Linked DNA regions of Callithrix jacchus. The protein of the gene in region 5 interacts with the protein of the main gene of each other region in a biochemical or structural test. Links are inferred from orthologs where the notes say so. Each region holds a gene or a part of one and is shown on either strand. Other genes may lie near its edges. The genes, in order: SYK, TNS3, BCAR3, NRG2, ERBB3, RNF41 and ITK.

The links.
Region 1: the proteins of ERBB3 (region 5) and SYK form a complex in vitro, tested with the Homo sapiens proteins (2 studies listed by BioGRID and IntAct, with this or other methods). The link is inferred for Callithrix jacchus from reciprocal best matches to the Homo sapiens genes ERBB3 and SYK.
Region 2: the proteins of ERBB3 (region 5) and TNS3 form a complex in vitro, tested with the Homo sapiens proteins (2 studies listed by BioGRID and IntAct, with this or other methods). The link is inferred for Callithrix jacchus from reciprocal best matches to the Homo sapiens genes ERBB3 and TNS3.
Region 3: the proteins of ERBB3 (region 5) and BCAR3 form a complex in vitro, tested with the Homo sapiens proteins (2 studies listed by BioGRID and IntAct, with this or other methods). The link is inferred for Callithrix jacchus from reciprocal best matches to the Homo sapiens genes ERBB3 and BCAR3.
Region 4: the proteins of ERBB3 (region 5) and NRG2 form a complex in vitro, tested with the Homo sapiens proteins (2 studies listed by BioGRID). The link is inferred for Callithrix jacchus from reciprocal best matches to the Homo sapiens genes ERBB3 and NRG2.
Region 6: the proteins of ERBB3 (region 5) and RNF41 form a complex in vitro, tested with the Homo sapiens proteins (2 studies listed by BioGRID). The link is inferred for Callithrix jacchus from reciprocal best matches to the Homo sapiens genes ERBB3 and RNF41.
Region 7: the proteins of ERBB3 (region 5) and ITK form a complex in vitro, tested with the Homo sapiens proteins (2 studies listed by BioGRID and IntAct, with this or other methods). The link is inferred for Callithrix jacchus from reciprocal best matches to the Homo sapiens genes ERBB3 and ITK.

The regions. Positions count from the first base shown.
Region 1 is NC_133502.1:74,892,307-74,896,443, forward strand, and holds the start of SYK (tyrosine-protein kinase SYK), read right to left. Parts: upstream 2,801-4,137; 5' UTR 2,680-2,800; intron 1-2,679. UniProt on the Homo sapiens protein: Non-receptor tyrosine kinase which mediates signal transduction downstream of a variety of transmembrane receptors including classical immunoreceptors like the B-cell receptor (BCR).
Region 2 is NC_133512.1:14,907,565-14,911,064, forward strand, and holds part of TNS3 (tensin-3), read right to left. Parts: intron 2,903-3,500; coding exon 1,646-2,902; intron 1-1,645. UniProt on the Homo sapiens protein: May act as a protein phosphatase and/or a lipid phosphatase. Involved in the dissociation of the integrin-tensin-actin complex. EGF activates TNS4 and down-regulates TNS3 which results in capping the tail of ITGB1.
Region 3 is NC_133508.1:131,469,609-131,473,108, forward strand, and holds part of BCAR3 (breast cancer anti-estrogen resistance protein 3), read right to left. Parts: intron 1,546-3,500; coding exon 1,103-1,545; intron 1-1,102. UniProt on the Homo sapiens protein: Acts as an adapter protein downstream of several growth factor receptors to promote cell proliferation, migration, and redistribution of actin fibers.
Region 4 is NC_133503.1:38,224,789-38,228,288, forward strand, and holds part of NRG2 (pro-neuregulin-2, membrane-bound isoform), read right to left. Parts: intron 1,331-3,500; coding exon 1,207-1,330; intron 865-1,206; coding exon 737-864; intron 146-736; coding exon 1-145. UniProt on the Homo sapiens protein: Direct ligand for ERBB3 and ERBB4 tyrosine kinase receptors. Concomitantly recruits ERBB1 and ERBB2 coreceptors, resulting in ligand-stimulated tyrosine phosphorylation and activation of the ERBB receptors.
Region 5 is NC_133510.1:63,567,254-63,570,690, forward strand, and holds the end of ERBB3 (receptor tyrosine-protein kinase erbB-3), read right to left. Parts: intron 2,753-3,437; coding exon 2,452-2,752; intron 2,281-2,451; coding exon 1,757-2,280; 3' UTR 501-1,756; downstream 1-500. UniProt on the Homo sapiens protein: Tyrosine-protein kinase that plays an essential role as cell surface receptor for neuregulins.
Region 6 is NC_133510.1:63,425,816-63,429,850, forward strand, and holds the start of RNF41 (E3 ubiquitin-protein ligase NRDP1), read left to right. Parts: upstream 1-1,235; 5' UTR 1,236-1,411; exon of another isoform or gene 1,412-1,579; intron 1,580-4,035. UniProt on the Homo sapiens protein: Acts as E3 ubiquitin-protein ligase and regulates the degradation of target proteins. Polyubiquitinates MYD88. Negatively regulates MYD88-dependent production of pro-inflammatory cytokines.
Region 7 is NC_133503.1:20,008,514-20,012,013, reverse strand, and holds part of ITK (tyrosine-protein kinase ITK/TSK), read right to left. Parts: intron 2,418-3,500; coding exon 2,260-2,417; intron 1-2,259. UniProt on the Homo sapiens protein: Tyrosine kinase that plays an essential role in regulation of the adaptive immune response. Regulates the development, function and differentiation of conventional T-cells and nonconventional NKT-cells.

The DNA.
Region 1 (4,137 bases), on a different chromosome or scaffold from region 5:
TAGAAAAGTCAGGGGGTAGTTGGAAAAAATGTCTATACATCTATACAGGGAAAGTTGAGAAAGTAAAAATTAGCCATCACTTAGGTGTAGACAACTAACACAAACCCAGCTGGTTGCAAAGTTAACAGGAAATAAAATTTCTTCCATGGACAGACTGCAGCTGTAAAGGGTGACGGTAACCCCTTTTGTGAGTAACTTCTGCTCTCTTTCTCTAAAATCGTAGCCTGTCAGAAACTCCGCTGTTCAAAATTATATTACAAAGGAAACATCCGCTCTTACTTGAAGAACCTTTATTTTGATCGATATGATTGAAAATTCAGTAAAATCTTGCTATTTTAGACTCCCTTAAGGGAGAGGAACTGCCCTTCTAATTACTGGAAAGTGTGAGGTATTGAGCAATATGAATGCACTTTGCTTTCAAAAGCAAACCATAGTTCAGTGGAGTCTAATACAGACTGAGTCCATCATCTCCAGCTCTAAAAAACTCTGAAAAACAAGCCTTTTTTTTCTTTTTGGTAAATTTTAGAGAAGCTCTTGTAGTGATACCACCTGCTCTAAACAGACACACAGCTATTTATAGTCTTCATTTTTCCACTTACTGAGAATATGCATGTTGTTAAATGTGAAAGTGCAGAAATATTAATGCGTGGAATTACAGGATTCTCTCCAGACTATACTGGAATGGCAAGTAATCAGCAGCATCAACATGTGTGTTTACCTCCCTAAATTCTGAGCGATGTCTTTCTCAATTCTAAAATTTAGTTCTATATTTTAATTCCAAATTCGGAAAAAGCTTGAATTCCAAAATACACTTTGGCACAAGCATGCTGGATAATAACCATGGGCAAACAATGTGCTAAATAAGTGAAGTTCTACTAAGAAGACATCAGTTTAAAAAACAGAATGATTAGACCTGCATTTAGAATATATATAGGGGCCTAACAAAGATCAAGGCAAATCATTTCTCAAGTGCAAATCTAGCAATAAAATAATGTTTCTACCAATTTCATCTCTCAGGAAAGGTAAAGACCTAAAGTATACACCCCATCTTTATCCTAGCTTAAAGCATTCTGGTTATTAAGACTATTCTAAAATCCTATTGTATATTTCACTTCAAATACAGAGGCTTTTAAAAAAAGTCTCCCCACGATACCTCAGTAGAAAAAAAATCTCTTTTTTCCTAGTGTTCAAATCCAAGGAAGAAGAGTAAGAGGATAAGACACAAATCAAGCAATTTGATTATAATCTCTCATTCAAATACACTTCAAAGTGCACTTCAAATACAGGGGGTAAGACAAATAAGTTTCTATTTTAATGCAAGATTTTTCTAAGTACATTAAAAGTGCCATTCGGATAGAACAAAGTGATTTGATAAAATAATTTTCACTGACAAAGATTTCTCACTTTAAACACTTAATAATTTACATGTATTTAAACCTTTTAGCTCAAATGTAATTCTATCTATGCACTGCTCAGACTTTCATTGGGGAGAAGGACATCAATGTATTTAGTTGCATTCAATCAAAATGCTGCCTGTGTAAAGGCAATGAATTTGTCCCTACTAAGACGAAGTCAGATTCTAGAATCAATTCAATTCCTTCCAGGAATTCTCAGGGATTAAAAGATTCCTTTTTTATTTTTTAATATGAAGAATCAGATATGGCATATCTCCAACTCCTTGTTTTGCTACAGACTGCAATGCTTTGAAGGTTAAAAAAGAAGAAGACGAAAAAGAAAAACTTCCAGTCAACAGTTCTACTTGAGTTCAACTGAATCTTCGGTAAGTCAGGCAAAACTCATAAAATATTTTGCAACAGCGTTTCCAACGTAAAAAAAGATTCTAACTCCCACTTCTCCAATTGTCTTTCTAGTCCCTGAACGTTGAAAAAACCAAAGAAGCTATCGCATTTGTATAGTTTTCAGGTAGGCTTAAGGTTTTGGAGCTGTATTGCCAAAAACAAACAAAAACAAAACCAAAAAACAAAGAATCACCTTACCTCTTAACTCAAGTTTACATTTTACTACGTAAAACTTTCTTGCTCTCCAGGTTCATTGGCTAAGTAAATTACTTGACAATGAAAATGTATTCACCAGAGTAATTATGCTAAATTTTAGTAGTGGTTCAGAAAGTTTGGTGTTTGAATGCAACTGCTGTTTCTTTCTGCAGTAAAACATTTGTCTTAGCTTATAAGACATCTGGACATTTCTACATTGAGTCACTTTGATCAATACTGCGGCATTTCCCCCATGGATTGGTGTAAATGGACAAAGGACACTGTTCTAGCTCCAAGATCAAATTCCTCGCTCTGTGCCTCATCCCAGCCTCGCGTCTCCCCCGGCGGGGCCGCGACCGCACTTTCCGCGCTCTAGTCCAGGGTCACTTTCCGCAGGTTCAGACCTCTGTCCCCTCCGCCCAGGCCCGGGCCCCTCTCCCGGCGCAGCTTCTGGATCCCGAGAGCCGGCAGATTCAGGAGCGAGGCTGGCGGACCCCACCGTATTTATTCACGTAGTTTCAGCACTTTTCCCTCCGCAGTGAAGGCCCTGCGGGCACCTTCCCGGTGTGACTGGGCACACGAGAAAGGCAGAACAAGAAAGGGCATGAACGCGGCGCGTCATCCCCCGAAACCCCCTCCGCTCACCAGAAAATTCTCACCGGGGAGGCGACGCGGCCACACCTACCTGCGCCAGGTGAGGCAAGGACTGGCGCTTGGGCGCAGCCGGGGCTCAGCCGGGGCGCAGCGCGGGGCCGCCAGCTCCTCCTCGCTCTTCTGCCGCCCGGGGTGGCCTCAGCCGCCCGGCTGCGGCGCTTCCTCATTTTGGGCAACTTCCTTAACGCGCCCGGGCAGGCGGCCCGCACTTCCTCCCGATGTCGCGCCCCGCCGCCTGGCCCGCCCTGCTGACCGCGCCCGTGCGCCCGGAGCTGGGCGGGCACGGGCTGGAGCGCTGGGCCGGCCCGCGGGATCCGCCTAGGCGGCTGCACCGGCAGAGGAATCCAGGTGCGGCGCGCCGCTCTCCTCCCGCCGGGTAAGGGCCCTTCGCAGGCAGGGAAGGTGGGACTGCCCGCGACCCGAACCACATCGGTTGCCCTCATCCCCGCCAGCGCGGTAACTTCTCTTACTGCCCAGGACCCAGGAACACTCAGCGGCCCTTTCCATTTGCTGTGCAGCAAATGGGGTAGAGACTCCACTGCAGGGCATAGTCCCTGGAGGGGGTATCTGGGTCACCAAGCCAACAGGCTGCAAGCCACCGTGCTGGAGCACTCAGGAGGCCGGGGCAGTGCTGAGGGGCCCGGTAGGTGAACAACAGACTTCACGGAGCACTAGTGGGCAATGGAGCGCGCTGCTTCTGAGGGCTTATTACTAAAGACTGCTTTCTTTGTAACACGACGGCTCTGACGTCTACAGCCAAATAAATTAAACGTAATCCTTTCCTATAGTCCTAAAAACGGTGTTGACTTATCTGCCTGATACACTTCTCTCAATTATCCTCCTTTTCCTGTTGGACATTCCTCTTTAAAATGTTCCCACAAAAACGGTATCCAGACCTTCTTGATAAAACCGATTGGCAGCGTCTGTTTTAAAAAGCTTTACCCTGAGCCAAAATGCGAGAAGCAAAATAAAATACGTATAATGTGCTGGATTGTAATTGCCATGGAGAAATTATAAAGATGGGACTGTTTATACTTAATGGAGCCCTCAGCCTTTTCTGTTTCCAGCGTTATTAGATTTTAATTCATTTTTGCAATTAATTTTTTAAACCTGTTAAAACTTCAACTGAATTACATTTAAATCAGTTTAATTGAGAAATGAATGATTTGGGAATGGGGTAGCTTCCAGAATCAAAGCAGATTCAGAGACTCCAGGGATGCCTCATGGTCAGAACAAATTCACAGACAAAAAAAGAGGAAGATATGGACAGAAATCAGAAGTGAAGTAGAGAAACAGCTGAATTGGTTACAAGTTGGCGTTTGCCTTGTTTGAATACTTAGCAGTTTATGAGTGTTTGAAGTATGGCCGCTGGGATTGGCCAAGACTCAGCTGTTGTTACAGGCCTCATACTCCTAAGTTAGATTTTCAGTCTTGCCTGCCTGTTAAAGCTAGGTTACAATTCATCCACAAGGACTCAAATATAGAAGTC
Region 2 (3,500 bases), on a different chromosome or scaffold from region 5:
ACTTTTACTCTGCTGTGCAGGTCCCATGTGAACCTGGGTGGGCCATATACTGACACCTCCGTCAATATGACTGTAAGGCAGGGACTGGTGTGGTGCCCGCAGCCAGGGTGCTTAGGAAGATGACATGGGCCAGCACACCTAAACCAAGAACCACGCTGGCATAAATGACAGCATCTCTCGTGTTACCAGCACACGGTGGGAATCACATGCATGGCGTCACCCAGTGATGTTCTCTCGTCCTTTACCTCTCTGATCTTCACTTTTAGAGGCAGGCCCCTCTAAGGAGCCAGCGGCCTCCAGAAACCAACACACCAAAACATGCCAATGTGGGAAGCCTGGCACCACACGGATGCCACATTCTCTGGCCCAAGGTCCTCCTTTGGTCCCTGCATATCACTACCGGGACTCCCAGAACACAGCTCTGTCTCTCCACCTCCTGCAGCTACAGCCTGGCTGTCCTCTCCTGGCATGCACCTCTGTGCAGGACCACACAATCTCCCCACAACCCTCGCCCACACAGGTCCCTACCTGAGACATCCCCGCTCCATCCCAGCACCCCTCTTTGCCTGCTGTCTTCCCTGGCTGACCTGACCACTTCTGGCTCTCTGGTCCTCTCAGCCTTCATGCCTCACCAACAGAAAGAACACTATATAGTAACCTGGTCCCAACATGCCCCATTACATTGACACAGTGCTGCTGTGAACCAGGCAGAGGTCACTGTCTGTCCATCACTGCCAGTCCTGGTTCTTCCCAGACCTCAAAGCTAGGCACAAAGGCCCTGTGCCGGTTTCTAAACCATCAGCCTTAGGGGGAAAGGACACTTGCAGTCCTGGCCTCCCTGCAGTTAGCATAACCCCCACCTGGTTTTGGGGCATCCCCCGGAGGCCCCTGCACCTGGCTCCATTGCTCTGGGTGCCGCGACAGCTCTCAGCCCCCCGACCCAAGCCTGCTCCCAAAACCCCTCCCATCACTGAGCTGCTCTCCATGGTAGAAACTCTTGTGGAGCCCAGGCCGCCCAGCTGCTGCCTTCCATAAACAGTCTCCACACACCACCATGGCCAGCACCGACACGTTGTACACCATGACTGCTTAATCACTTCCATGTGCCAAAGCTGTCTGTGGGCTCAGCAGTCCTCTTGATCCCCAACCTTCAGCCCCACTGAGGTAACTGGCATTCTTCCACAAAGCCCTGACCTACACCACAGGGGAAGAGGTAAGTATGCTTCCTTAGTTCATCCACTAACTTTCACAAAGGGAGAATAGTTTCACTGTTAGGCCCATTCTGCAGTGAAGGCATGGACAGCCCTTTCCAGCAGATCTGCATGCTGTCCCTGCCCCTGTGCTTAACATAACACCCTGACATTAACATAACAGCAGGCTTTCTGCCTCGTTCTTCCCACCCTCCGATCTGCTACCTAGGGACCATGGCAGCATGATAGCAGGCCATGGCCTAGGCTTCCCACATTGGCATGTTTTGGTGTGTTTGGCATGTTTCGATCCTAGGCCAAAATTCACAAGACTCAAAACTGCAAGGGAAATGTCCCTCCCTCTCCCCTGTGGGTTTTGCCAAAAGCTAACCTACTAGGCTGATTTCTCATCGCACGTCAGCCTCCCGTGGAGCACCTCCCGTGGAGCACCAGCTCACCTTGACGCCCGGGGGTCCTGCTGGTGCTCTCTCCTGTGTCAGGCAGCCTGCTGCTTGCCCGGAGCCCGCCTCCCATGCTGTCCAGAGACGCAGAGCCATTGGCCTGGCTACCAAGGGTGTTCATGTGGGTAGGGATGGGCTCGAAGGTAGGATCCAGCTCCAGGATCAGCCTGTTGAGCTGCTCAATGGACTGGTCAATGTCCAGGGTGGGCGAGCCTGGGGAGGGGCCTGTGCTCAGCTCTGAGCCGGCTCCATTCACAACCTGGTCGCCTGGAAACCTGGGTTTGAATGATTTGCTGGGAGAGGGCTGCTGTGTGTCAGGAGGATGTGACCCACTGCCCACACCCCTCTGGACAGCCACCCTGCTGCTGGTCCCTCGGGTGGGGGTGAGTGGGATTCTTGGCTGGGCCTGGACGAGGCCAGGGTTGTCTGCAGGGCCTCGGCTCACCAGTCGGGCCTCCCCGTCGGGGGCGAAGTTATACTGGTGAGCCACCACCATCTGCTGCTGGCGCACCCAGGTCTGGGTGGAGTAGCTGCTCTGCCCATAGGCCTGCATCTGTGGGGACACCGAGGGCTTCCTCAGCAGGGGCTGGGGCTGCTTGGGCTCTCGACTCCCAAAAGTCCGCTCCCGCTCATAGGGGGCGTCCATGCCAAGGCCCAGGTCTGGAACAAGGGTGCCCTGTTGATCTTCACCAACGTTGCTGCTGAGACCATCAGACAGGAGTGAGTTCTGGCTGCTCTTGTGGCAGGTGAAGGGGCCCAGGTGGGCCGACTGCGGCCCTTCCGAGGAGGACAGGGTCCCAAGGCTGTCCACACTGTGCAGGTCATGATGGGGCATCTCGTCATCCAGAATGTCCGTCTCCCGGTCCTTCAGAGCAGCGTCTCCATTCACGTGGACCTGAGCCGGCACCACATGGCGGGTCCCGCTGTACTTGCTTCGAACATCAGTCATTTCCTTCAGGGAGCTTCCAGAATCTTCCAGGCCAAAGCCACTGAGCAGCTGGTCCAACTCGGCCTTCTCCTGGGCGCTGAGGCCCCTCTTGGTTCCCGGAGCCAGGCGCTCTTCTGTCTTATCAGTCCTGGCAGAGGCTGTGGAGTGGCCAGAGTCGCTGCTGACAGACAAGGTGTGGTCACTGTGGTCTGGGCTGCCAGTGGCCGGGACAGCCTGGTGGCCTCCTGGGATGCCAGGATCCGAGGAGCTTTTCTTCCTCACCTTCGCGTAAAGGCTGCCATCAACAGGGCCCTGCGTGTGTAGCACTGCGGGGGAGAAAAGCAGAGAGAGGGATGAAAGGCAGCCTCACACCTTCAGAATGAGTGTGTGCATTTGTCCAAACAAATAAATGGATTCAAAAGATGACTAACGATAAACAGGGACAAAGACTCCTCTAAGATCAAAGTTCTACACATACTCTGGAGCATGCCAACGAAAAGGAATGCAAAGAAACAAACATCTTCAGGCGCCAGAATCATTTCCACCTTTCCATGCAGAACAAACTGTCATTCTGAGCTCTGGGATTCTTCAGCTTCTGAATCATCTTGCCTTGAGGGCTCATTGTTAGTTTCATCATGATTATGAATGCTGAACTGGGCTCAGCTCATAAATCCCCGAGAATGGACTGTTCACCCTATACAAAGAGCTTCCATCTATAGACCTAACACTTGTTGAGCATCAGTTAGGGGCCTGGTAGCAAATTCCTATTAAATTGAATGGATTGGTGGAACCCCATCTCTATTAAAATATAAAAATCATCTGGGTATGGTGGCACACGCCCACAGTCCCAGCTACTCAGGAGGCTGAGGTAGGAGAATCACTTGAACCCGGGAGGGAGAGGTTGCAGTAAGCCATACACTCCAG
Region 3 (3,500 bases), on a different chromosome or scaffold from region 5:
CTTTTCCCTCCTTTCCTTTCCCAGTGCATTTAGATGATGTGCACAAGGACCCTGAGCTCTGTGAAAGACAGGCCCTAAACAAATGCAGGTCACCACTGCTGACATTTAACAGCTGGGCGCCGAGGCTCAGCGATGTTCTGAAGCCCTGATTTTCCACCGAGTGCTCTAAATCCTTCTCTGCCCCCATTCCCCAAGGTTCACACTATAGCCCCCATGCTCTCTGCATCTCCTGTCTTAGAAATCTCATTTGTTTTCACCAAGTCAACTACCCTTTCCACGTGGACCAAGCCCTAATTTGTCTTCAGCCCTAATGGCCTCCTGGACCCCAAAACTCCTGCTGGACTCTGGCATTCAAGTCCATAGTCTTCCAGCTCAGATGAAAAAGTATGTTTCTCCTCCAGAGTCCCCTCCCTCCTGGTCACTCCTGTTGCCTCCAATGTGCCTTCCTCCTACTCCGCCACGTGCATTAGAGGCCTGGGAGGCCAGGCCCCTCCATGATTCACTAACTGGCTTTCGTGTTCGTGTCTCACTCCTTGCCCCCAGTATGTTGCTGTCCATTTCTATTCTTAGGACATCTGCGTTCACTCTGCTGAGTCTGTGCAGCTCCCTCAAAGCCCTGCACCTGGCATTAAGGCCCCCACGATCTGGCTGGGGCTAACTCCCTAAGCCCACTGCTACAGGTACCTTGCACAGACCTTCTCTTCCAGCCCCACCAGCACACTCACTCCAAGATCATGCCATTTTCCATCCCCAGACTTATGCCCAGGCTGCGCCTCCCACCTCCCCCGCTTTGCAGCATCTATCCAAATTTTCCCCAACCATCAGACCAGCCCAAGCTTAACCCCCCTTCACAAGGTCTCTTGTGAAGAGGGAGTCGCCACCCCCTCTGTCCTTCCTCAGCTCCTGTAACATTTATCGCTGGCACTGCTCAGATGGGAGCTAATAGTGCAATGCCTCGTAACAGCTATTCCATGAACAGTCGGCATTCCTATTAATATCACTTATTTCTCTGTTCCATGATGAATTCTTCATCTCCCTATGTCTGGGCACCTCTGGTGCCTTTCATGGTCCTATGCCAACTGCAGAGGAGGCCTTGACCCACCTGAGGAGGTTTCCCCTGGGCAAATTCTGCTCTCGGGTCTGGACGCCACCCATGGTGAGGCTCAACCTCTTGGCCACATCCGGCCGTCCCTCGGTGAGGCTGCCCTCCTGGGCCCGGCCTGAGGAGGTGCCATAACGCTCCTCCAGGCACCGCAGGGGCACCGTCCTGTTGATGGGCTGGAAGATGATGGCACCACTGTGCTGGGAGATGGGCCGGCGGTTGCCCACATAGCAGCGCACCAGGCCGGGGATGGAGTCGAAGCTCTCCATCTCGAACTGGTACTGTACGCGGCTATATGCCTCGCTGAGCCGCAGAACTGTCCGGTTGATTTTGAAGTGCTGAGCAAGGTTCTTCCACTGACAGGTTAGGACGAAGTTCCCAGGGCTGGACAGAGAGTCACGAACTAGGAAGTCGCCATCTCGCTGCACAAGGTTTTCAGACACCTTTGGGACAAAAAGGTGAGTGAGGAGTAGGAAAGGCAAAATCACATTCCTTCTAAAAGCTTATGGCTACCCACTTCTCTGGGCCAATGGAAGGCAATGCTACTATTTCTTCTTGGGTCAGCTGTTTCGTTTTTCAAAGGTCAAATTCATAGAAGATCCAATCATTCATTCAGGAACTACTGACTGACCACCTACTTGCACCAAGCACTGCTGCAGGGGTGACAGTGGCACACAAGAGCCCACCTCATGGAGCTCCTGTGTTTGGTGGGGAGCTTCTGTTTTAGTGAGGATAAATAACCAATGGCTATGGTATGTCAGATGTAACGTCAGGGAAAAAGTAAATCAGGAAAGGAGACAGGAAGTGCTGGGCAGGGGATGAGGGCTGTCCAGTAAAATAGGGTGGGTGGGGAAGTGTCACAAGAACATGATGTGTATATAGACTTGAATGACGTAATGCACCAGGAAACAGGAAATTAGAAACTGTCGGGCAGGCCTGATTTTCCTTCCCCAACAGGTGGAGTGAGGAGAAAGAAGGTGTTTGTTGGTGTCTAGAAGTCGTCCTCGGAGCCCTCTCAGAGGAGGAGTCCGTGTGCAGGACACACCGACTACTGGCTAGAAGGCTTGGAACTAAGTCAGGCCGGCAGGCTGGGGTCCCTCATCTCACAGTTACTATAAGGGTTATGCATTTGTATACATAATACATGCAAGCGCTGGAACACAGTGGATGCTCAAAAATAACTCGCATGATGCTGCTGCTTACAGCAACTGGAGAATTTAGACTGTGGTGCAGTCTGGCTGTTCCTGTAGCCTCAACCACCTGGGTTCGCATCCTGGCTCAGCTGTAAGACTCTGGACAAATTACATAATCTCCTTGTGGCTAATTTACATTATCTGAAAAACACAAATGATAATATTACCTACAGGATGACTAAAAAAATTTAAGGAGCTAAAATGTTAGCAATAACTCTTGTTATGATGGTTATGGTTATAGTGTCCAGTTACCCAGTTTGGAATGATTTATCGCTGAAAATTTATACTCATACTCATGGCAAGTACTAAACAAATTTAATGACCATGATAAGGAGAAGGACAGTGGTGACAGTCACCAGTTTTATAACTCTGACAATTTTTCTGAGACATTCCATCATTTGATCAACAGTATACTTCTGTTAGCTTAAAACAGTAGGCTACCATGGTTACTTCGAAATTGCATCTTTGCCTTAAAAATGTTTTCACTTAGAAATTCCATTTCTTAGAATTGAGCCTGTGAAGGCCGGGCATGGCGGCTCACGCCGGTAATCCCAACATTTTGGGAGGCCAAGGCAGGTGGATCACAAGGTCAAGAGATCGAGACCATCCTGGCCAACATGGTGAAACCCTGTCTCTACTAAAAATGCAAAAATTAGCTGGGTGTGGTGGTGCACGCCTGTAGTTCCAGCTACTCAGAAGGCTGAGGCAGGAGAATCGCTTGAACTCGTGAGGTGGAGATTGCAGTGAGCTAAGATTGAGCCACTGCACTTCAGCCTGGTGACAGAGCAAGACTCTGTCTCAAAACAAAAACAAAAAACAAAAAAACCAGAATTGGGCCTGTTGAGTCTGTGAAAATAATTACAGGTATGAACATAGTACTCTTAAAGGATGTTGGTCACAGTGTTAGAAACACCCTATGTGTCCAGTAAATTGTGATGCATGCATACCATGGACAGGCATACAACATAGGCTGGTACAGAAGAATATTTTATAGTGGGTGAAAATTTCCAGGAAGTGAGTAGAATGGGCTACCAAAAAAGTATATGCAGTACAATCTCATACGTGATTTTGAAAAGCCCCGGAGAATATATGTACACAAAAGTGTTCACGGTGGTTATCTTCAGGAGAATTATGAGGAGAATTACAGATAAGAGTTAATTTCCTTATTTTTGCTATCTATATTTTCTACCATCAATTTTCAACTT
Region 4 (3,500 bases), on a different chromosome or scaffold from region 5:
GTAGGCTGCTGCCCGCCTTGCCCGAGCCTCCACACACGCTGGGCTGTTGCATTTGCTGGTACCCACTGATGACAGCATGATGCCTGACTGCGAGTCAGAGGTCAGGCTCTCAGAACGTTCCAGGCTCCACGTGTGGCTCTCGTGTCTGGGAAAGCCAGATGGGGTGAGGTGAGGGGTAAGGAAGGGGCAGGGCGCCCAGCAGGTGTGGTTCCATGGACCTCCCTGGCTCTTCTTCCACCTCCAGCTCCCTTAGCTCAATGCCCTTCTCCACTCTGGGGTGATGTAGAGTGTTGCAAATGCCCAGCCCCAATATTGGAAGAAGGAGGGCTGGCGTCCCATGGATGAGTGAGTTTTAATGTGCAGAAACCCATTTCTTTCCTCCCTGCAACCAGCCTCCCCTAGCCTTACCTTAAACCCCCTGTGTGGGACCCTTCCACCACTGTGGTCCTTAGCTTCCTATCTCAGAAGCCCAGCCCCAGGGGCCAGTATGTGAGGGCCCTATTTCCTGGTGCTCCCAGGGAAGAAGGGAGCCAGCCATGTTATTTTTGAGCTGTCTGGGCCTTTGTGCTGTGTGGATCAGCCTTCGCAGTTCTGGAGAGGAGGTTAAGGTGTGCTGTGATTCCTGTGGCAAGCTCAGGAGAGGGTATCGAGTAGCTCTGGATGTTGGCTAAGTGGGCGCTTTGTGCCAGATGAAGTTTGTGAGTCTCAGGTTTCCATGGGCTTTGGTGGTGCCTACCTGTGGCTGGAGGTGGGTGTGGCTGTGGAGCAGTGGTGAGAAGGTGAACAGGAGTGGCTCCCAGAGAAGGTGGTCTCAGTTTCTCTCCTGATGACGTGGTCTGTGGCTGGCACGTTCTTGGAGATATACTGGAATGGAGAGAGTTGGGTGAGAGTTAGTGACCGTGGCCTAAATCAACTTTTCTTGTTGGGGACAGGGATGTGATGAGCACTGACTGAGCTCTTGGTTGGGGAGACCCACTGGGTGAGAGTGACATGATGCTGGGGCAGTGACAGCTCCAGCAAATCAACCCCCACCCCTTCCTGATGAAAGTGAGCAAAGCAAAGCCAGCCATCCTGGTGAGGCAGTGCCTAGCAGGAAAGGCTGGCCATGGGATAGGCTGGCGGCTGCCCTGGCCCATCCTTGCAGGGGGCATGAGAAGGCTGGCTATCCACTGGGAGTTCAGAAGGGGGCCCGGGAAAGCCACTCACATCTGCCATTTGGATCTCCTCTGGGTCCAGCCGTGGGTGGCTGGGCCCATTGGCCAAGCTCCGGTTCTGGTGGGCCGGGCACATGTTCTGCCGGAGGTGGTTATGCATCTGCTTCCTCTGTTTTCTGCACAAGGGAAGGGAAGGTGAGCCTGGTATTCCCCCAATTCACCAGTGATGAACTTCCGGAGCTGCCTCTCTAGGGAAACAGCTTTTCCCCCTGTCCAGGGCTGCTGTTCTTCCCTGTACTCAAGCTGCCCCTACACCATCACCACCTCCCTGAATCCAGCAGGACCTGAGCGTCATGGCAGTGAGCTTTGGCTCTGCTCAGAAAGTAGAACTTCATTGATTTCTAGTTATGCAATCCTGGGCAAGTTACTTAAGCTCTCCACATTTCACTTTCCTCATCTATAAAACAGGGTGATCCTTTATCCATTCCAAAGATTATTGATGATTAAAAGTATATGAAATATTCAAGGCTGGGTGCCGTGGCTCACGCCTGTAATCCCAGCACTTTTGGGGGCCTAGAAAGGCAGATCATCTGAGGTCAGGAGTTTGAGACCAGCCTGACCAACATGTAGAAACCCTGTCTCTACTTAAAATGCAAAATTAGCCTGTCATGGTGGTACATGCCTGTAATCCCAGCTACTCAGGAGGCTGAGGCAGGAGAAATGCTTGAACCTGGGAGGCAGGGGTCGCGGTGAGCCGAGATTGCGCCGTTGCACTCCAGCCTGGGTGACAGAACAAGAGTCTATCTATCTATCTATCTATCTATCTATCTATCTATCTATCGTGTGTGTGTGTGTGTGTGTGTGTGTGTGTATTGACTCCCTCTCTCTCTTATTCATTCATTTGGTATTTATTGAGGTGTCACCATGTGCCAGACACTGTTTTGGAGCAGAGAAGATAGATAGGTAGATAGGGTATCCGCCCTACTGAAGCCTGTAGGCCAGTAGAGGAAGCAGATGGTAAATAGGTAAACAAAGAAATGAACTAGATACTTTGAGTAAAGTGCCACAAAGAAAGTAAACAGGGTGCTGTGGTTAGCTGTGGGGCTACTTTTTTAGATTGGCACATATTAAATGCTCAATTTATTTGATAATAAATCTAATCATGTAACTCCCCTGTTTAATGAAGGGGTCCTTCATTGTGAAGTCATGGAGATAGAGAGTAGAAGGATAGTTACCAGAGGCTGGGAAGGGAGGTGGGGGTTGGGAGGGAGGTGGGGATGGTTCATGGGTACAAAAAGTGGTTAGAAAGAATAAAAGAGACCTAGTATTCGATAGCATAATGGGGTGACTATAGTCAATAATAATTTAGTTGTACATTTAAAAGAGTGTAATTGGATTGCTTGTAACACAAAGGTCCAGGAGGACCCATCAGTTTGCTCAAGGTCACAAAGGATAAATGCTTGGGGGCATGACTAGCCCACTTTACATGATATGATTATTATGCCTTGCGTGTCTGTATCAAAATATCTCATGTAGCTCATAAATATATACACCTACTATGTACCTGCAAAAATGAAAATGAAACCCCTTTACTGGGCCTTAGTGTCCTGTTTCTCTCCCAGCCCTGTGTCTTGCTGCCCACACGGCGCCCCAGCTAGCTCCTCCGTGGTGAGTTTATTTCTGATCCTCCACCGTGCCCCACCCTCTCTGGCCTCCTGCCTTGCGCATGCTAGGCCATTCACCTGGAATACTTTCCTCTTCACCTGCTAACTCTTGTTCACCTCTCAGGCCCTGGCCTAAATGCTGCTCCCCAGCTTAGGTGCCTCTAAAAGGTGTCCTGTGATACTGGACCACTTGCTCAGAGCACTGGCCATATGTCTGAGGCAGGGCCTGGTGTCCAGCAGGCACCAAATGAGTGTCTGTTGAAGAAATGAGAAAATGCAGTGGGGGCAGGACAGGCGGCTTGCTTTTTCTGCAATTCTTGGACTATTTTCCCTCTTGGGCCTAGTCTCCTCTGGGCTCACTGGGCCCCAACTCCCTCCTCAACCTCCTCGAGACTTTCTGGTCCTGGATTTATCCAAGACAAGGCCAGGAGGACCTCAGATGCCACAGTTGGGGCAGCATGAGTCCAGACGAGGGGCTCAGTCCCTGGAATGGTGGCTCCATCCGGTCTAGACTCTTGCTCTCCAAATATGAACAGTTGTTACAAACCCGTCATCTTTCTGCCCATCAGAAGGTCATAGGGCCTTGGATGCTGAGCTAGGGAGTCTGGCTTTTTCCAACAAAGATTATAGATGTACCTTTGTTGGCTAAACCTAGAATCCCTAGCTCGGCATCCAAGGCCCT
Region 5 (3,437 bases):
CCGGAGGGATCATCCATTTAAAGGCCTCCCAATCTAGAGGCTGGACTCCTTAAAGAAGTAACATGACATTGTTCCAATAACAGGCTGGATGGAGCACTTAAGGGAAGTGTTCAGAAAGACAGATGTTTGTTGAGAGCGCTTACTGTGAAAAAACAAAATAAAAAGATTTGGTGACTTTTCTAAGAATGAATTCAGAAACACGTAGAGGTTTCAGTATTTGGCCTCTGAAGGAGACCGGACACGTATATAGTGCTTTTTATAAGTCCCCAAGCACGTGGGTTATTTGTTTTTGTTATTCTCAATTGTTTTTGCTTTGTAGATTCCTACTAAAACCCCAAAGGACTATAAGCTATGCTTGTTCTAAAGAAATACAAGTAATAATAGGACTAGAGAAAGCTGCATGGGACGGAGTAGCATTGTCAGAAGACAGAAAGGTGACTGTCCTCTGCTGAGGAGATCTATCTAACATATGAAATGTTTTCATTTGACAGACAGGAAGCTGAAAAAAACTTTGGCATTTTTATTCAGACATGTATAAAAACAAAACATTTCAGTGATACAACAGATATTTTCCCTCAGTTCCCCATCCAAAGGAACAGAGGCGTGAAACTGGGTCTTCTTTCTATCCTACCTGGAAGCTTCTTACTGCTGGGATGAGAATGGCTCCTAAAAGTGAATCTTGGGGGAATCCTTGTGAATCTGCCCTCAGATAAGGAGTAAAGATCATTCACAGCACGTGGGTTATGGTTTACACAAAGATGTCCAGTTATTTTTCCTTCTGACTACCCCCACCACCACTTCCTGAGATGAGATGTCTTCCTATATGAGGAGGATGTGGCTGTTGGGGTTAGACTTGATTCAGTGCAGACAAGAAACGTTGCCCCTTACAAGGGCTGTGACTTAAATCAGTTTTCCTTGGCACTTACAGTTAAGAGCACATGCACAGGAATTGGGAGGATTTTGCATTCTGGACCTACTGCTTAATTAATCTCTTTTAGGCTCAGTTTCCCCCCCCTTCCCCATTAGAGATGGTGTCTTGCTATGTTCCCTAGGCTTATCTCTAATCCTGGGCTCAAGTGATCCTCCCATTCTCAGCCTCCCAAAGTGCCGGGATTGAGCCACCACGCCCGGCTTCCCTTTTTTGTAAAATGAGTTAATATGTATGTCACAGAATTGTTGTAAGGACTAAGTGAGATAATGTAGGTAAAGTTTAGTATGATGCCTGGCTCATAATTAAGTGCTGAATTATAAAAGTAATCAATATCTACTCCTAACCTTTATCTCCACAGATTTTAACCTTCTGTCTTTCTAGGGGGTTAAGAGTCATAAACCAAAATTATACTTTTCTCTGCTAGGTTTCCTCCCTTTCCTCTTCCTGACAGTCTGATGGGAAACAAAGGCACATCTAGGAGCCTAGTTCCAAGTAGTCAGAGCCTGAGAGGAAGGGATATGGAGAGTAATCCTTCATATCTCCAGAAATACCTGTGAGGAAGCTGAGGAATGGGATTGAGAAAGCACACAAAATAAGGAAAACCTCCTTTCCTGGGGTTGGGAAAGAGAAGAAAGTGCACAGCTGGCTATATACCATAAGAATTTTGTGTCAAATGTTTAAAAGCCTCCAAAGGTTGAATGGAATTGTCTGGGACTGGGGAAATGGGGCTGAGATCTGGGAGAGAGAGGGAACAGGGAGAAGAGAGTACCCTCTAAAGGCACTAGCTGCCATTAAATGCTCCCTGAGTGCCACAGGGAGCAGGGGTTATGTTCTCTGCGCATTAGCCTTGGGGAAAAGCCTGCTATGCCAGTAATCAGGGTTATCAAAGGCAGAGTCTGTAGCCTCTAAGCTACGTAGAGTTTTTAGGCGGGCATAATGGACGTGAGGGGCCTGATGTCCAGGCCCCTGAAAAGCTCTCATCTCTTCATACCCTTGCTCAGATGCTGGGCAGGCCCCCATGGCTGCATAATCACCCCCAGGACCACCTCCACCTCGTTGCCGATTCATATATTCATAATCTTCATCTGGAGTTGTGCCAGCAGTGGGCATGATTGGTACAGGGTGGAGTGGGCAACTCTGTGTGCTGCCCAGAGAGGCACTGAGGTCTGACCCCACATCCATGTACTCATAACCCAACTCCTCAAGGGAACTTGGCCTAGGGGGACGAGGTGGGCTGTGCCTTCTCCGGTTCATGTATTCATACTCCTCATCTTCATCTTCTTCTTCAGTACCCAGGACAGAACTGAGACCCACTGAAGAAAGGGTGCCTTCCCGGGAGGAGGGAGTACCTGAGGGTAGAGAAGAAAGGCTAGGTATGCGAAGAACCTCATGGGGGTAGGGGAAAGTTTGAAAAAATGAATAGGATAGAGAGGCATATCATCAGAGAAGACAATAATTTAGAGGAGCCTGGGGAAAGAATTCGAGGAAGAACTGAGGAAAGCCCTAGGAAGAGCAGGCACCTTTGAGGTGTGTATCTGGCATGACATAACCATTGACATCCTCTTCCTCTAATCCTGGTGGGGAGAGAGGGGTGACAGGAGTAAGCAGACTGTGGCGCTGGGAATGGTAGGCACTGTCTCCACGTGGCCGTGGGCTCCGGCTCCTGCTCCGGCTCCTACACATTGACACTTTCTCCTGGAGCTCAACCTCAGAGCCTGTTACATGGCCCTCTGATGACTCTGATACCAGGCGTCCCCGTGGCATTGGGTGCAGAGAGACTGGACGGGGGCACCATTCACTGCCCTGAGAAACTGCAGACTCCTAAGAAAGAAAATAAACCAAAAATAATGCAAGGAGATTTACACAGATCAAGAAAGAAGTGACATTTGTTTAGAAGGAGATTGGAGGCTGGGCGCGGTGGCTCAAGCCTGTAATCCCAGCACTTTGGGAGGCCGAGGCGGGTGGATCATGAGGTCAAGAGATCGAGACCATCCTGGTCAACATGATGAAACCCCGTCTCTACTAAAAACACAAAAAATTAGCTGGGCATGGTGGCACGTGCCTGTAATCCCAGCTACTCAGGAGGCTGAAGCAGAATTGCCTGAACCCAGGAGGCGGAGGTTGCGGTGAGCCGAGATCGCGCCATTGCACTCCAGCCTGGGTAACAAGAGTGAAACTCCATCTCAAAAAAAAAAAAAAAAAAAAAAAAGAAGGAGATTGGGTTGTTCACTACCTTTTTTTTGGGGAGGCGGGGGATGGAGTCTTGCTCTTGTTGCCCAGGCTGGAGTACAATGGCACAAACTCAGTGCACTGCAGCCTCCCAGGTTCAAGCAATTCTCCTGCCTCGGCCTCCAGAGTAGCTGGGATTACAGGCACCCACCACCATGCCCAGTTAATTTTTGTGTTTTTAGTAAAAACGAAGTTTCACCATGTTGGCCAGGCTGGTCTCGAACTTCTGACTTTGTGATCTGTCTGCCTCAGCCTCCCAAAGTGCTAGGATTATAGG
Region 6 (4,035 bases), about 140 kb from region 5:
ACAATCTTGACTCACTGCAACCTCTGCCTCCCTTGCTCGAGCGATCCTCCCACCACAGCCTCCCTAGTAGCTGAGACTACAGTGCGTCCCACCACTCTCGGCTAATTTTTATATTTTTTTGTAAAGACGGAGTTTTGCCATGTTGCCCAGGCTGGTATCGAACTCTGACTTCAAGCGATACGCCAACCTCGGCCTCCCAAAGTGTTGGGATTACAAGCGTGAGCCACTGCACCCGGCCATACTACTTTTATCTTACTTGATCTGAGTCCCCTCTAGAGGATGGCAGAAAAAAGGCTTGAAACTTCAGTTCCTTTTGGGACCTGTCAAATTGTCCACAAAAGATAGCTAGTTCTGTATTGTTGTGTGTAAACAAATTACATAGAGATATGTGGGTGTGTGTGGGTATGTGTATCAATGTGCACTAACATTGCTTAGCCAATGTCCAAAATAAATGCCATACTATTTAATACCAGATTAGCCTAAGAGATAATGTAATTGTAATGCCTTGGTTTGCCTAATGAATCCCTTATCTTTTCATGGAGCTCTTTAGGCTCCACATTGACTTCCCTTGGATCCCAGGTTCTCTACCACCCACACCCCAACACCATGGTGTTGTAAGCTAAGGAAATCAAACTCCAACTCAGGAAGAGGGAAATTTTCTCTCCCTTCCTTCTTAGGTGTTTCAGGGAACTCCTCAAGTGATCGAGGAGACATCGTGGATATGGGAAGAGTGCGCCTGGGAGAGAGGCAGACAACCCATTGAGCACCCCGGATCTAAGCTTTGCAGTCGGATTCCCTCACTCCCCACCCCGCAACCGCCTTGTTAACTGCAATATCCATTCCCATGACAGGCGTCAAGGGGTCACGAGGCTCTGGGATGCCGACCAGGGCTCTGGAAAAGGGAGAGGGGCTGGACCCACAGCCGGTCACGCTGCAGACCAGCCTCTCCGCAATGATCTCCCACCAATCCGCGTCAGCTCTGGGACACAAGTCACGTGATCCTTCCAAAGCGAAGCGTGGCCGGCCAGACCCACCCGTTCTTGTCGGGAAGAACACAGAGTTCTTCCTCCCAAATGGCTATATAGTCCTGACAGAGACCACAAAGACTTCCTGTCTAGAGCGGAGGCCTGGCTAGCCTTCGTCTCTCCTCGTAGGTCGCTCGTGGCTGCCCGCGTAGGGAAGGAGTTAAACAAAGAGGCGGGGTTTGGTGACGAGCTTCCGCCGGGTTGCGTAGCAGCGGTGGGCGGGGCAAAGGATCCGCCAGAGACGGCGACGAGTGGTCGGAGACTTCTTTCCCCTCTTTCCCCTTTCCCTTCCCTTCCCGGGAAAGGCTGGGACCCGGCATCAGGGCAGACCTGTGGCCGCTGCGGCCTGAGCTCCAACTGGGCCAGGGTGCGGAGTGTCCAGGGCGGTGCGTACTGCGCCTGCGCGATCTTCCACCTAAAAGAGGGTGTGGGAGGGGAGGAGGTGATGTCCCAGGGGTATTGGGGCAGGGGGTTGAAATACTGGGGTTCAGGAGGAGGGATGTTGGTAAAGACGAAAATGGGGGAAGGAAGCAGCACTGGCGAGGAGTTGGGAGGTGAGAAAGGGGCTCTGGAGATTGGGTTGTTGGGGAAGGTCCATTGGAATAGGGGAGCTTTGAGAAGTGCGGGAGGGGGCCGGGGCTAGCTGGAGGACCGGCAGCTGCGGACCTAGAGGAACAACGTAGTGTTTAAATGGGCAATGATTGACGGACCAGAAGGGGAGGAAGGGAGCATTCCGGGGGCTAGCCTGGGCAGGGGCGGTGGAACCTAAACCCCCGCCCTCGAAGCGCCATAGCTTGGCTCCTCTCCCATGTCTTGTCTTTGGCAGCCTTGTCCTCTCATTCCTTCCCCGTTCCTCTCCCCCTCCTAGCCCTCCATGAAGAAATCTCACATTCTTCACATCCCTGCGCTTAGTTTGCAGCCTGGCCCTCTGATAGGCTTCACACACCACACACTGGAAGGCCTTCCCAAACCCAGGACTTTGGGAAATTGGGGAGTGGGAAGGAGGGGGCCAGAGGAAGAGCAGAAAGCTAAGAGGGTTAAGGGCGTTTTTCTTGAGGAATTGACAGACTCCCTCCCCATTCAGAAACTTCCTTTCACCTAATAACAAGTGGGGTTGTTAATGAGGCCACTGTTCTTGGGGACTGGCCCGTGATAGTGTTAGCCCTTTCTAAGAGTGGTTTTAGAGTCTGACAATAGGGCAAGAGGCTGAGAGTGTTGTTGGCTGATAGTTTTGCCCCAAATAAGAATGGGGTGGATTCGTGGTAGGGAATGTGAGTAATGCAATGTTACTACCTTGCATGTCCAGCCCACCTGTGGCTAGGCCTACCTTCTAGTAAAAAGAAGGAACAATCTTCTTTTAAGCATTTCCTCTCCGACTCTCAGTACTTTAAATTTATTTATTTTGCCTTTTTTTGTTTTTTGAGATTGAGTCTCACTCTTGCCCAGGCTGGAGTATAGTGGCACGATCTCAGCTCACTGCAACCTCCTTCTCCTGGGCTCAGGCGATTCTCCTGCCTCAGCCTCCCGAGTAGCTGGGATTACAGGCACCCGCCACCATGCCCAGCTAATTTTTTGTATTTTTAGTAGAGATGGGGTTTCACCATGTCGGCCAGGCTGATCTCAAACCCCTGACCTCGGCCAGGCGCAGTGGCTCATGCCTATAATACTAGCAATTTGGGAGGCCGAAGCGGGTGGGTTGTCTGAGCTCAGGAGTTTGAGACTAGCTGGGCAACACAGTGAAACCCCATCTCTACTAAAAATATGAAAAATTAGCCAGGTGTGGCTGTATGCACCTGTAGTCCCAGCTACTCAGGAGGCTGAGGCAGGAGAATTGCTTGAACCCAGGAGGCAGAGGTTGCCATGAGCCGAGATTGCGCCACTGCACTCCAGCCTGGGCGTCAGGGTGAGACTCCATCTCCAAAAAACAAAAACCATCACCTCAGGTGATCAACCCACCTTGGCCTCCCAAAGTGCGAGGATTTCAGGTGTGAGCCACTGCACCCGCCCTTATTTTGCATTCTGTTGTTACAAATAATATCTCACTTGAGGATGACAGTATTCAGTATCCTTTCATGTTTATGTATTTATTTATTTATTTTTGAGACGGGGTCTCACTCTGTCACCCAGGCTGGTGTGCAGTGGTGCAATCTCTGCTCACTGCAACCTCTGCCTCCTGGGCTCAGGTGATCTTACTGCTTCAGCCTCCTCAGTAGCTGGGACTACAAGCGCTTACGCCACCATGCCTGACTAATGTTTGTATTTTTTGTAGAGACAAGGTTTCACTATGTTGCCCAGGCTGGTCTCGAACTCCTGGACTCAAGTGATCCATCCACCTCAACCTCCCAAAGTATTGGGATTACAGGTGTGAGCCACTGTGTCCAGCCTCCTTCCATATTTATTATTTCACTTGATTTACAGGACAGTATGTATAAGGTGTGTGTGTGTGTGTGTGTATGTGTATGTGTATGTATGTGTATACACACATACACACCTTATATTAGGTGGGGCTCAGTGGCTCACACCTGTAATCCCAGGACTCTGGGAGGTCAAGGTGGGTGGATCACATAAGGCCAGGAATTTGAGACCAGCCCAGCCAACCTGTTGAAACTCTGTCTCTACTAAAAATATAAAAATTAGGTTAGGAGATTGAGACCATCCTAACAAGGTGAAACTCATCTCTACTAAAAATTCAAAAAATTAGCCGGGTGTGGTGGTGTGCACCTATAGTTCCAGCTACTTGGGAGACTGAGGCAGAAGAATCGCTTGAACCCAGGAAGTAAAGGTTGCAGTGAGCTGAGATCACGCCACTGCACTCTAGCCTGGGTGACAGAGTGAGACTCAGGCTCAAAAAAAAAAAAAAAAAAAAATTAGCTTGGCATGGTAACATGGGCCTGTGATTCCAGCTACTCAGGAGGCTGAGGCAGGAGAATAGCTTGAACCTGGGAGGTGGAGGTTGCAGTGAGCCGAGGAGATCACATCACTGCATTCCCTTCTGGGTGAAAGAGCAAGG
Region 7 (3,500 bases), on a different chromosome or scaffold from region 5:
GCATATGAAAATGTTCTTAACATTGAATGTCATTAGGAAAATGCAAATTAAAACAATGATGTAATATAACTACACATCTATTAGAACCACTGAAATCCAAAACAACAAATGCTAATGAGGAACTCTCGCTGCTGGTGCGAATGTAAAATAGTAGAGCTACTTTGGAAGACATTCTGGCAGTTTCTTAAAAAGTTAAACACAGCCTTACCATATGATTCAGCAAGCATACTCTTAGGCACTTACCCAACCGAGTTGAAAATTTATGTGCATACAAAAACCTGCACATAAACATTTATAGCAGCTTTATTCATAATCGCTTAAAACTGAAGGCAAGCAAGATTTCCTTTAGTGGGTAAATAAACAAACTGTGGTATATCCATACAATGGAATATTATTTAGCAATAAAAAGAAATGAGCTATCAAGCTAAAAAGCCATGGAGTGACCTTAAAGGCATATTACTAAGTGAAAGAAAGCAGTCTGCCTGGATGCTCATACCTGTAATCCCAGCACTACGGGAGGCCTGAGATGGGTGGACTGCCTGAGCTCATCTGGGCAGTATGGCAAAACCTTGTCTCTACCAATAATGCAAAAAATTAGCTGGGCATAGTGGCTCATGCCTGTGGTTCCAGCTACTTGGGAGGCTGAAGTGGAAGATTCACTTGAGACTGGGAGACAGAGGTTACAGTGAGCTGAGATCGTGCCACTGCACTCTAGCCTGGGTGACTGAGATCCCATCTCAAAACAAAACAAAAATTCAAACAAATAAAAAAACTTGAAAGCAACCAAGATTTCCTTCAGTAGGTAAATAGATAAGCAAACTGTGGTATATCCATACAATGGAATACTATTTGGCAACAAAAAGAAATGAGCTATCAAGCCATGAAAAGACATGGAGGGACCTTAAAGGCATATTACTAAGTGAAAGAAATCAGTCTGAAAAGCATACATGCTGTATGATGCCAATATACGACATTATGGGAAAGGCAATACTATGGAAACATTATAGAGATCAGCAGTTGCCAGTGGTTTGGGGATGAGGAGAGGGATAAATGTGTGAAGCACAGGAAATTTTTAGGGCAGTGAAACTATTCTGTCTGATATTATAATGGCAGATACATGGCATTATTCATTTATCAAAACCTACAGAAATCTATAGCATAAAGACTGAACCTTAACATAAACTATGAACTTTAGTTAATATAATGTATCAATAAAGGTTCATGAATTGTAACAAATTATCACACACTTGCCAAATCTTAGTGAACAGAGAAACTGCTCAGGTGAGGAGGGTATTTGAGAACTCTGTACTCTTTGTTAAAAAATAAAGTCTATAAATTTAAAAAATCAACAAAAGATGTTTAAAAGAGGAAAAAGTGCCAACTGAACATCAGCTGTCATTATTATTATTGTAGTTAATCCTTATGAAGTGGATAAGATTTGTTTCATGCCCTTGTTTATGACTTTATTGTTTCTTTGTTCCTCATTATAAAGGCTCTATGAACCCATACATCAAGCATTATTTAATTCTCTTAACAGTAAGAAAAAGGAAGTTCAGAGAATTGTTGAAGATAAATGGCAAATAAATGGTAAAGCTGAGACAAAATCCTAGTGTTCTAAATTGTCTGTATTCCACTTTGTTGTCCTACAATGATGTGAATTTTTACTAATTCTCTATTTCAGCAACTTTCCACTTTGGCTGAAATGTACAATTTTCTAACTCACCAAAGACCATCTAAGACTCATGCTGATGGGGCTCAACCCATGGCCTGCAATCCAAGGATGGGATAGCCAGCCAGGTGGGTACAAAGGAAGTGGCTCCCCATTTTAAATTGCTGAATGAATAAAATGAATTCAAATTAATCCATTTCAATATTTTCATAGTGTGAGTGAACTTTGTTCCCCAAGTTATAGAACTAACTTCATGTACTTTTAATGGTTTTATGATGTCACAGATTTTATTTCTTTTCTCAGAAAATTGAGAAGGAAGTTGGCATAGGTCACACCCCATTCTCCTCTCTGAAGTTATGCTTATGGCTTGTGACATTATATAGTAAACAAAATAATATTTAAGGTCACCATCAGCTCCATTAGGGATGGGGGATCTATCCTGTTAAAAGACCCTCAAAGTCATGTTGTTGTTAATCTATATGAGTCATCCCTCTTGCCTTAGCCTTCTGAGAGGGTTACTTTCTCTAGGGAAGGAGGCAGGTCCTGAAATTGTATATGACGATGCAGGGGAAAGCACTTCCTCCACTGACCTCTTTCCAGCAGTGATTCATAATCTGGTAGACATGTGAGGAGGCTAGCCGGGGCTTGTACAACCGAAATCCAGTACTGATGTCTTCTACCACCTCTGAGTTGCTTCGGTTTTCATATGGGATTTTGCCTTCACTGAAAACTTCCCACATCAGCACACCTATGAGAAATGGTATGCACAGCACAGTGAATGACAAAGCCCACAGACAGCAAACAAAGCAACCTCCCCCTAGAAATTTCAGACTCGTTGGCATTAGGATTCATGTGCTACCTCCAGAAGTACATCAAGTCTACCTGAGGTTTATTAGCCCTGTCCTATTTTTAAAGAACTGAAATTTCCAACCTTTCTAGTGGAGAAGGATTTTCAAGATGGACCCTTTGTTATATCAAACTCAAATGCTGCCACTAACAGTTGTAGACTCAAATGCCAACGTGCAATATGTAAATGAACGGAGTGCAGGAAGTATGATAGGGGGAATTGTGGAAAATGAGATAAACAGCTCCGTCTTAAGGAGACAGCTATGATTTGACTCCAGCCAAAGTATGGCATATGAAAATGAGGGATCAGAACTGTTACAATTTCTGATTTTTGAAAAGGAAGTCAAAAATTAAGAGGTGAACTTCTTGAATTTTAAAAACACCATGTAGACCAAGCAAAATACATCTTTGGCTTATCTGTTTTTGACCTCTGATTTAATTCTTTTCCTTTCTTCTTCTGCCCTTAGTAGAATTGTCAGCTTTGTCCTTATCATGTGCTGATATAGTCACAGGTTGTCAGACCAGGAAGACTGCTTGTAAATCACCTAATCCAGCACTTTTCAAGGTTCGTTCCAGAGAATCTTAGAGTAGACATTCCCAAAGCATGATTCCCAAAACACCGAATAAAAATCATTTCAGAGGCTTGTTCAAGTGGCAGATTCCTGGGCCCTAGCCCAGACCCAGTGGAACAGAATCGCTAGGGGTTACTCAGAGGTGCCTCAGGAGTTGGAAATTGACAACCTGACCCTAAATAAGAGTGTTTATCACCCAAGATACCAGAATTTTTAGTGAAAATTGTTTTGAATATGCGCTGCTGCTAAAACATGGTTTCAGAATGATTGCCTTAAGACATAGATGCATAGAGGAGAAGCGAATAGATGAAAATATTGAGTGAAGTGCAAAGAGATTGACTTGTTCAGAATAGCACACTGCTAATTAGGATGAAAAAACCTTAACACATACAACAAAGTCCAGCGTGCTGATG